Linked DNA regions of Schizosaccharomyces pombe. Changing the gene in region 1 together with any one later gene gives a genetic interaction. Each region holds a gene or a part of one and is shown on either strand. Other genes may lie near its edges.

Region 1 (4,961 bases):
GAAGCTTGGCTCCTCCTCCGTCGTATTCTACATCGCAGCCAACTATTAGTTGGGATGCAGCTAGTGAGTCTTCAGCGGGTACAACAACGCAGGGCGATACAAATAGACCCGACAAATCGAAAAATAGGTCACCTCCAATAAATTTTGATGGTACCTCGTATGATGCGGCTGGTAATGTTTTCAGTCCATCATCATCCAACAATCAAGCTTATCAAATGCACTCCATGCCTGCTACCGATGAAGTATAAGGAGTAATGTATAGCTTAGCACTAACAACCTTCACGCCAAAACCAAAGATCAAGTTGTGGAAATGTTTGTGCGTTGTGTTTCAAGTTAGTCCTAAAATCGAGAAATGCACTTTGTATATGAATTGAAGGGGATGTGTTGATGTTCAATGTATTTATTTTCTTTATAATAATTTCTTCAAAATTAGTTATAATTATTAATCTTAATTAAATTTACTCTATGTTTATTCGCTCAATTAATAAAAGGTTATTCACAATTTATTATGATTTTTCGTATAATGTTGCTATTGAGTCTATACTGTTAACATCAACCTTCATCGAATTCCGCTGGTGAGAAGTTTTAACGGAGGAATTCATAGGGTTGTCAATCCTGATAATGAAAGTGTAAAAGGAAATTTTCGAAAGCGCTTTTTTACATTTCTAATTTTGCGTAGTGTCATAAAATGCAATTCCTGGTAAAAACAAAGCCGCTTAATTATTAGTCTTGTTATCTTTTGCTGTAATAAAAGGAAATCTACCTTTTTATTCCAAAGGAACAAATAAAGCAATTCGATACTGCAGTGTGACATTCTTTGTGAGTAAAAAAAAAAGGGAGTAAAACAGAGAACGTATTCAAGTAATATTCTGAGAATTGTTTCTATTTCAAACTTTTATAGCAAGTTTCCAATATGCCTTTAGGTATAGACTTAATTGAAAAAAGACCGATCATTATCAAAGGGAAAATTGGGATATATTGCTAATTAAAATATCTACCTAAAGGCTGCTATGCACCTATGATGATTTCTCTCCATAGACCAACAAAAAGTTCAATGGAAAGCAATTTCAGCGGCACATACAAAAGATTCTTCAAATAGGTAATTTAGGAATGTTTCTTTTGATTATCTTGCATAAAGGAAAAGGAGATCATATTTTGAAAGCTCTTACAACGATTACCACCCTCCCTAACTGATGCAAACTGGTTCTCAGCAGCACTGACTGGAACTATCTAAGTACTCTATGAAAAAGTAAGAGTTAGTTTAGCATAATCAGATAAAATGACTGGGACTTACGAATCCTCAAAGTCCGATAAAGAACCAAGTTCATACGGAAATCTATATTACACGAGGTTCAGTTTTTTGTATGTATAATGAATTATTATTTTAAAAAACATATTAGTGTCCGATAGTTTACAATTGTTTGCTAGTCGGTCTCTTAAAGAGAAGGGCATAAACTTCTGCCGACATTGTTAAACAAGCAACAAAACTTCCCCTCAGAAATGTTAAACGATAAAAAAAGGAAACCTCTGGAATTATATAAAAAATAGCTCTCTCTCTTCTCGTTACGTGACATTCTTTAAGGGTGTATATTGAACCTTCGGAAAAATTGCTCTCATAAGGAAGTGATACATGTCAAACGTGTTTCATCAAAGTCGCATTTTTTTTCTTAATATCTTACTTAAAGCAGCAAAGCATAACTTCGTTCCTCTCCACTTAACGACTTCCATCCTTTTATTTATTCATAGCATACTTCTTCACCAAGCGGGCACATGAATAAGGATAATTAACACACTACACTATACCCCGAGTTTCTCCACATTTCGAGCATCGTTTATCGTACCCTAAATCTACGGTAGTAAATGTATGCTTGTAATAAATATGACGTCAACCGACATGTTTTTGTAGACTAGTGCATGCACCGGAGATCTGTAACTCTCCATAAGCCTAGCCATGCATGCAGCACTCGAAATCAAAGAAGCTGAATTTCAAACCGATCAAGTAGTAGGACTCGTAGAAAATTCTTTTACATTATATTCATTGGTATGAAAAACGAAAAATATTTTTTTTTTTGAAGAATTTCGACTAACGTTAACGAAAACAGGGACAAAATGTAAGAATTCAAACATTATGCATTGAGAGCCATGCTGACTTATTAGGGGGGTCCATTGGAGTCTTGCTGTAGCAGTCATTTGATTTCTGATGGCGCATTTCAAGAAATTATATCGCTGGATGGTGGAAGCCACCTATCGGCGTTGGTTGAGTTGATCCAGTCAAAACACCTGTCCGTCGATTCTTGGTCTTCCATCACCAAGTATGACAATTATACGGTGGAAAATGAATCATACGCAAAAGCCTGGCACCTTTCAGAGCAAAGGATTAAAACGTTTCTCATCACACACTGTCATTTAGACCACATCTATGGAGCCGTCATCAATAGCGCCATGTTTGGTCCTCAAAATCCTAGAACCATAGTTGGGTTAAACTATGTGATCGATACCCTAAAAAAGCACGTGTTTAATAACTTATTATGGCCTTCCCTCGACAAAGCCGGATTTATTAATTTTCAGGTGTAAGTAAATTCTTTCTCAATAGCTTCTGTCAAATGAAAATTTTTTCATTGTTTTAGTGAATAGGTTGAGGGTTGGGAAGGCAATGTTGAGTTTTGAAAATTTTTTATTTTCTTCATCTTAGTTGAAGAGATGTATGCTCGTCTTTTTTTCCTTCAAATCTATTTGCTGAACACACATTTATATATTTTGCATATATGTAAACTATCTGCTGACGCTTTGGTTGATTTGCATGGTTTCATGGTACTTGTGCAATTTTTTTTGTGAGACAGTGATATTATTTGAAAGATTGCAAAGATTGCAATAATAATTATATCTCTTTTTCTTTCACTGTTCTAATATCTTTTGTTCTTGTTCAAACAAGTTAATGAATTTAACTCTTATGCGAATTTGCTAAATCAACCCCATCGGCATTTCTCTTTCTCATTTGACAATGAGACTAACCTCTTTTTAGGGTTGAGCCTTCCATGTATACTAGTTTAACGACTACTTTGTCTATATTGCCCTTTCCCGTTAATCATGGCTCCTCTTTCGGTCAAGAGCTAAAGTCGTCTGCATTTTTATTTAGGAATAACCTATCCGACAGATACTTTTTGGCTTTCGGGGACGTCGAACCCGATATGGTAGCCTCAGAACCGCTTAACATTCATATTTGGAGAGCTTGCTCTAGTTTAATTGCTCAAAGAAAGCTTTCTCATATTCTTATCGAATGCTCCACTCCTGACATCCCTGATACTCTTTTGTTTGGTCATTTTTGCCCTAGACATCTAGTGAACGAGCTTTGTATACTCCAATCTCTGGTCCAGAGTTATGGCGTTATCATGCCTACCCTTACGTGTTTGCTCACTCATTTGAAATCACATCCTCTTCAGTCGGCGAATCCTGCCGATGTTATATTGGAGCAGTTAGAGTCGTTGTCTTCCAAAAGTTCTCTTTCAGTCACATTTAAAATCCTTCAGCGTGGTCAATTTTATAAATTTTAATAGCATCCCAGGGTCATGGTCATATATTCATTATATTTTTATTTTTTTTTTTTAATTTCTTTTAGGTTTCTCCATTTATTCGTTACGCCCTTTTATCCTTCCGCCGTTGCCGCATGTCTTTCTATTATTGAGAATTCTGTTGGAGGAATTTTGACTTTGTTGTTAATTATTGAATGCTAAAGCAATTAATTATTACCTTTTTTTATTTTTCATTACCAGTTCATCGTACCTCGCTTTGCTGGTTTACTCTCATTAGAATTTCACGCTTTTCTCATCGGACACTTTATTTTCAAAAATAGAATGCTTTTTCTTTGTTTGCCAATCTGCTTTACTTTTTAAATAGATTTCTAATTTGGTTTTTTGTTGTTGTTGACGAGGTTTATAGAACGATGGGTTAAAAGTCTTAACCAGATTATATACTTGAATAAATGGGTTATATTATATGACGATTTCTCTGTTCTAATATTGTTTACCTAGAAACAAGAGGAAGCATTCCTAAAGGGTAGCGGGTATATTAGTTGAGTGATGAATCAATATAGGTTTGCTCTGCTTTTTTCGATTGGATAGACTAGGAAGTATTCTGGAGGGTATGAAAGGAACAAAGTGTTCTATTACAGTTGGTAATGGTCGACTCTTGATTACGATGTTTAATTTGGGATAGAAAAATGATTATTATTTCTAGTTATCGCATATGATCGTAGGAAAAGCACATTACAAAGGGGAAACGAACCAAAACGGATGCAATGATCATAAAGGGCGCTGGAATAGTAAATTAATATAACAAGCTAGTATTCTTCTTCTTTCCAAGTTGCATTCCTTTCGCTTTGGGAGCAGAAGAAGCCTTTGCTGCAGCGTGATAAGACTCCATGGCAGATTCGTCTTCAACATTAGACGTAGCAAAGGTTGTATTAACTGTTTGATACCCAATGGATTCATACGCATCTGCACTGGGAAGATTCTGAGCCGCCCGTCTTGCAGCTTCTTTCTTTTGTAATTCAAGTTGTTTGATGCGGCGCTTCCTTTCTTCAGTTGCTTCAATTTCTTTGTTCTAGAAAGTGCATTAGTAAAACCATACAAAAAAAATTTCGATGACTCCACCCCTATGCTTCAACACGTACTCTTGATACAATTTCTTGAATTTTCTCTTCGTGACTCTCCATTTCCAAATAAGTTTTGATCTGTGTCAAAGATACATTGTCTCTGTAGCCAAGGCTGGTAGCTTCGTCAAACGCAGTAAAGATTTCAAATGCATATTCCAGAATCTCTCGTTCTTCAAGCGACGAACAAATCGATGTTACCACTTGAGAGAGGAGATGTAATGTATCAATGTCTTGCAAAATATTAGATTGTAAATTGGTGATCAACACGATATACAGTTCGTCCAACGGTTGGTATACGAACCTGACGTTG
Region 2 (2,955 bases), on another chromosome or scaffold:
TCTTTGAAATTTTTAAATCTGTTTAACTCATCCCAAAGTAATTGAGTGTCGGAAAAGAAATGGCCCGAACGGTTTTATGAACCGGTCCCTACTAAAGAATAACAAAATTCAAATATTGGAAAGGCAGGTTTTGGTTTTGAACGCAGTTGTTGGATTGAAAATATATTCCATTGTACTTTGTACTTGATAATCAAAGTAATCTTGTTGTTGATCATTAAAGGCGTATCAACAGTGTTGGGGAAAAAGTTTACCTTGAATCTTATCTAGCAGCGGAAACTAAATAATTATATTTATTAAATTGTTAGACCAGCCTAAAACTATCGGGATTAGCGTTGGGTAAGGGATTTACGGAATATTTACCGTATTAGGTTTTTTTTGAGTTTTAAAAATTTAACTCGCTAACATAACCGAAGCCTCGCACATATAAACTATCTTTCAACCTACTTGACTCAACTTTTCCTTCACCAACCGCAGTGTTGCATTAAGCAGCAAAACGTTGTCACCTTCGAATAGCGTCTTTTTGACGAATAAAAAGGTTGGACAACAAAATTAAATTAAGCAAATTTGTGTATAAACTAACAGCAAGTGAAGTTGTACCGGTTGTATGATTGAAGCATTGTAAACCAAAGAACAGCTACTTTGCCTTGTCGTACATTAGCTTTTTCCTTTGCAAAGAACTTTTAGGGACCTTTTTTTACCACAACTAGAGAACCGGTGTAGAAAGGTGTTCTATTTTAGTGAACGGATTCGTTTAATTTTTTCATTGAGAAAAAAATTTGATCTATCTTGATTTTTTCGACTGTTTCCATTTTTAACTATTTGTGACGTTTCTTATTGCCAAATTTCAACCTTGAGCATTGTTAAAAAAGCTGAATTTAAATTTCTTTGCTTTTAACATACAAGTGAGCTATTGGGTTTGTAAAGATTTAATACTTGATTGGAAGTTTTTTTGGTCAAGTCTGTTTTTTTTGGGTGTTTTTTTGACGATCAGTTGAAACCGCGAATAATAATATTTATTATAACTCCCTAAAAAAAGAAAGAAAATCATTTATTAAATAATTTTTACTTTCCTTCATTGTTTCTGAATTTTGCTTCTCCCTGCCGTTTAATTGTTTCATTTTCTTTTAGAAAGTACTAAAAGGTAATCAAATCGGCTAGTCTTGCAACTGAATTTTCTTTGAAGATAATATCTAGATTTAATTTTTCCCTGCTTGAATTTCCTAAGATCTTGCGTTCGTTCGGACTGAATTGCATAATTTATTGAAGGTCTCCATTCCTGTATACTTACTCGACTACCCATTTATCGGTCAAGCTGTATATATACACGCACAGTCAACTTATCTTCTACTTATATTTATAAAACTATTTATTTTATTTCTCTTTAATCCGAGCTTCGTTAGTTGATTCTTTTGATCTTTGCATTGGTAACTAATCCAGTGCGCTTTTTTTTTTGAATCTTCGTGACAGCTATTTTCTGATTTTACTTCATCTTCAAACTACGATCTGATCGGCTTTGCCTTTCGTCATGCAAACTTATACAGGTATCATTAAGACCCCGTTGGATGCGATTATCCTTTTCGAGGCCTGTCGAATTGGTCTTCTTCCACGCGTCCAGCGTCGATTGTCCGACCATGAAAGAAGCTTGATACGAGCAGGCAGTGTTTTTGTGTGGGATGAACGGGAAGCTGGAATGCGCCGTTGGACTGATGGTAAATCATGGAGTGCTTCTCGTGTCAGCGGTTCATTCTTAACCTACCGAGAAATGGAGGGTAAACGTAAACCTTACCATCACGGTCTTTCCACCGATGGTTCCCTTAAACGCTCTCCCTCTGCAGATACGACTGGTAATAGTTCCCTAAATGCTTACAGCAATGAGGACAGTGGAGCCGCGAGCTTGAGTGATGAAGAGTCGGTTGATGATGAGAACCTACGGGGGTTGCATTACAAACCGAACGGCTTAATTAAGCAGTCCTTTAGTATTACTACCTCCTTAAATCATAAACTTCACCTTATTTCCTATTCTTCGCCTATCCCTGATCCTTCATTAGTCACGCCAAGTAGTGATGTTAACCTTTCACGTATCACTATTCCATATGGACTGTATCCAGACGCGGGTCCACCGCTTGTTCAAGCACCAAAGTTTCTCGCTCCTTATGATATTCTTGTCGAGAAAGTTGCCTGTAGCGAAGACGCGCGCGTTTTGGATAAGTTGCGTCAAGCCCTATGGCTATAGGTTTGATCTTTTTCTTCACATTGGGTCCTACTTCTCGGTTAAAAAGTGTACTAAATTTACTATAGATTTCATTTGCATCATATATGGGGCTTTAACGACTCCCAATCAATCCTAGTTTCCTGTGACATTTTCTCGGCTGCGTTTTCGCTCTTACTAATCTGCGGCTTTGTCTATCAGCGTCTAATTTATGTGGTTGATCAATTTTAATTTCAAGTTACCACTTCATTCTTCAGCACTTACGGCAAGTGATAAAAACAGAAAGCTTGTTTTGATTTAATTCATTAACTAAGTAATCGCTCAACTGTCTTGCAAATACGTTTTCTGTTCGTCGGTTTAGATGTGTATCGTTATCATAACTCTTTAGACATTTCGCTTTACGCATTATTTTGTTTCGTCTGCGAATATCGGAAATGTCCTTTTTAAAGAATCTTTTGTGGTTATTTCATCAATGCTTCCTTTTTTCTCTTTATTATTTATTTCTTTTCATGATGGAAATGGTTAAGTAAACGTCTATCATGAAGCACGGTAGAACAAGTATTCAACATTTGAATTATGCACTCAACATTTCTATTTTTTACTACTCAACTTAGAGCTCATGTTCGGGTAAAATGATAGGAAAGCATCAATTCTTAGGGTAATTTGAATTCCTTAAATACAACTACTATGAAATTAATTCTTTATCTTTTAAGTAAATGCATAGCTTTTATTTGTTGTAAATGAAG

What was found.
Region 2: of cgs2 (region 1) and pac2, changing one suppresses a phenotype caused by changing the other (phenotypic suppression), as found in Schizosaccharomyces pombe (one study listed by BioGRID).

Annotation. Positions count from the first base shown.
Region 1 is NC_003421.2:1,809,622-1,814,582, reverse strand, and holds cgs2 (dual-specifity cAMP/cGMP phosphodiesterase Cgs2), read left to right. Parts: upstream 1-1,939; 5' UTR 1,940-1,951; coding exon 1,952-2,041; exon of another isoform or gene 2,042-2,102; coding exon 2,103-2,111; exon of another isoform or gene 2,112-2,157; coding exon 2,158-2,570; exon of another isoform or gene 2,571-3,022; coding exon 3,023-3,551; 3' UTR 3,552-4,246; downstream 4,247-4,961. Other genes in the region: SPRY domain membrane protein, specificity factor required for ubiquitination Ear1, read left to right, coding at 1-248; coatomer delta subunit Ret2, read right to left, coding at 4,324-4,599, 4,670-4,961.
Region 2 is NC_003424.3:3,004,613-3,007,567, forward strand, and holds pac2 (cAMP-independent regulatory protein Pac2), read left to right. Parts: upstream 1-1,525; coding exon 1,526-2,233; downstream 2,234-2,955. UniProt on the Schizosaccharomyces pombe protein: Controls the onset of sexual development, by inhibiting the expression of ste11, in a pathway that is independent of the cAMP cascade.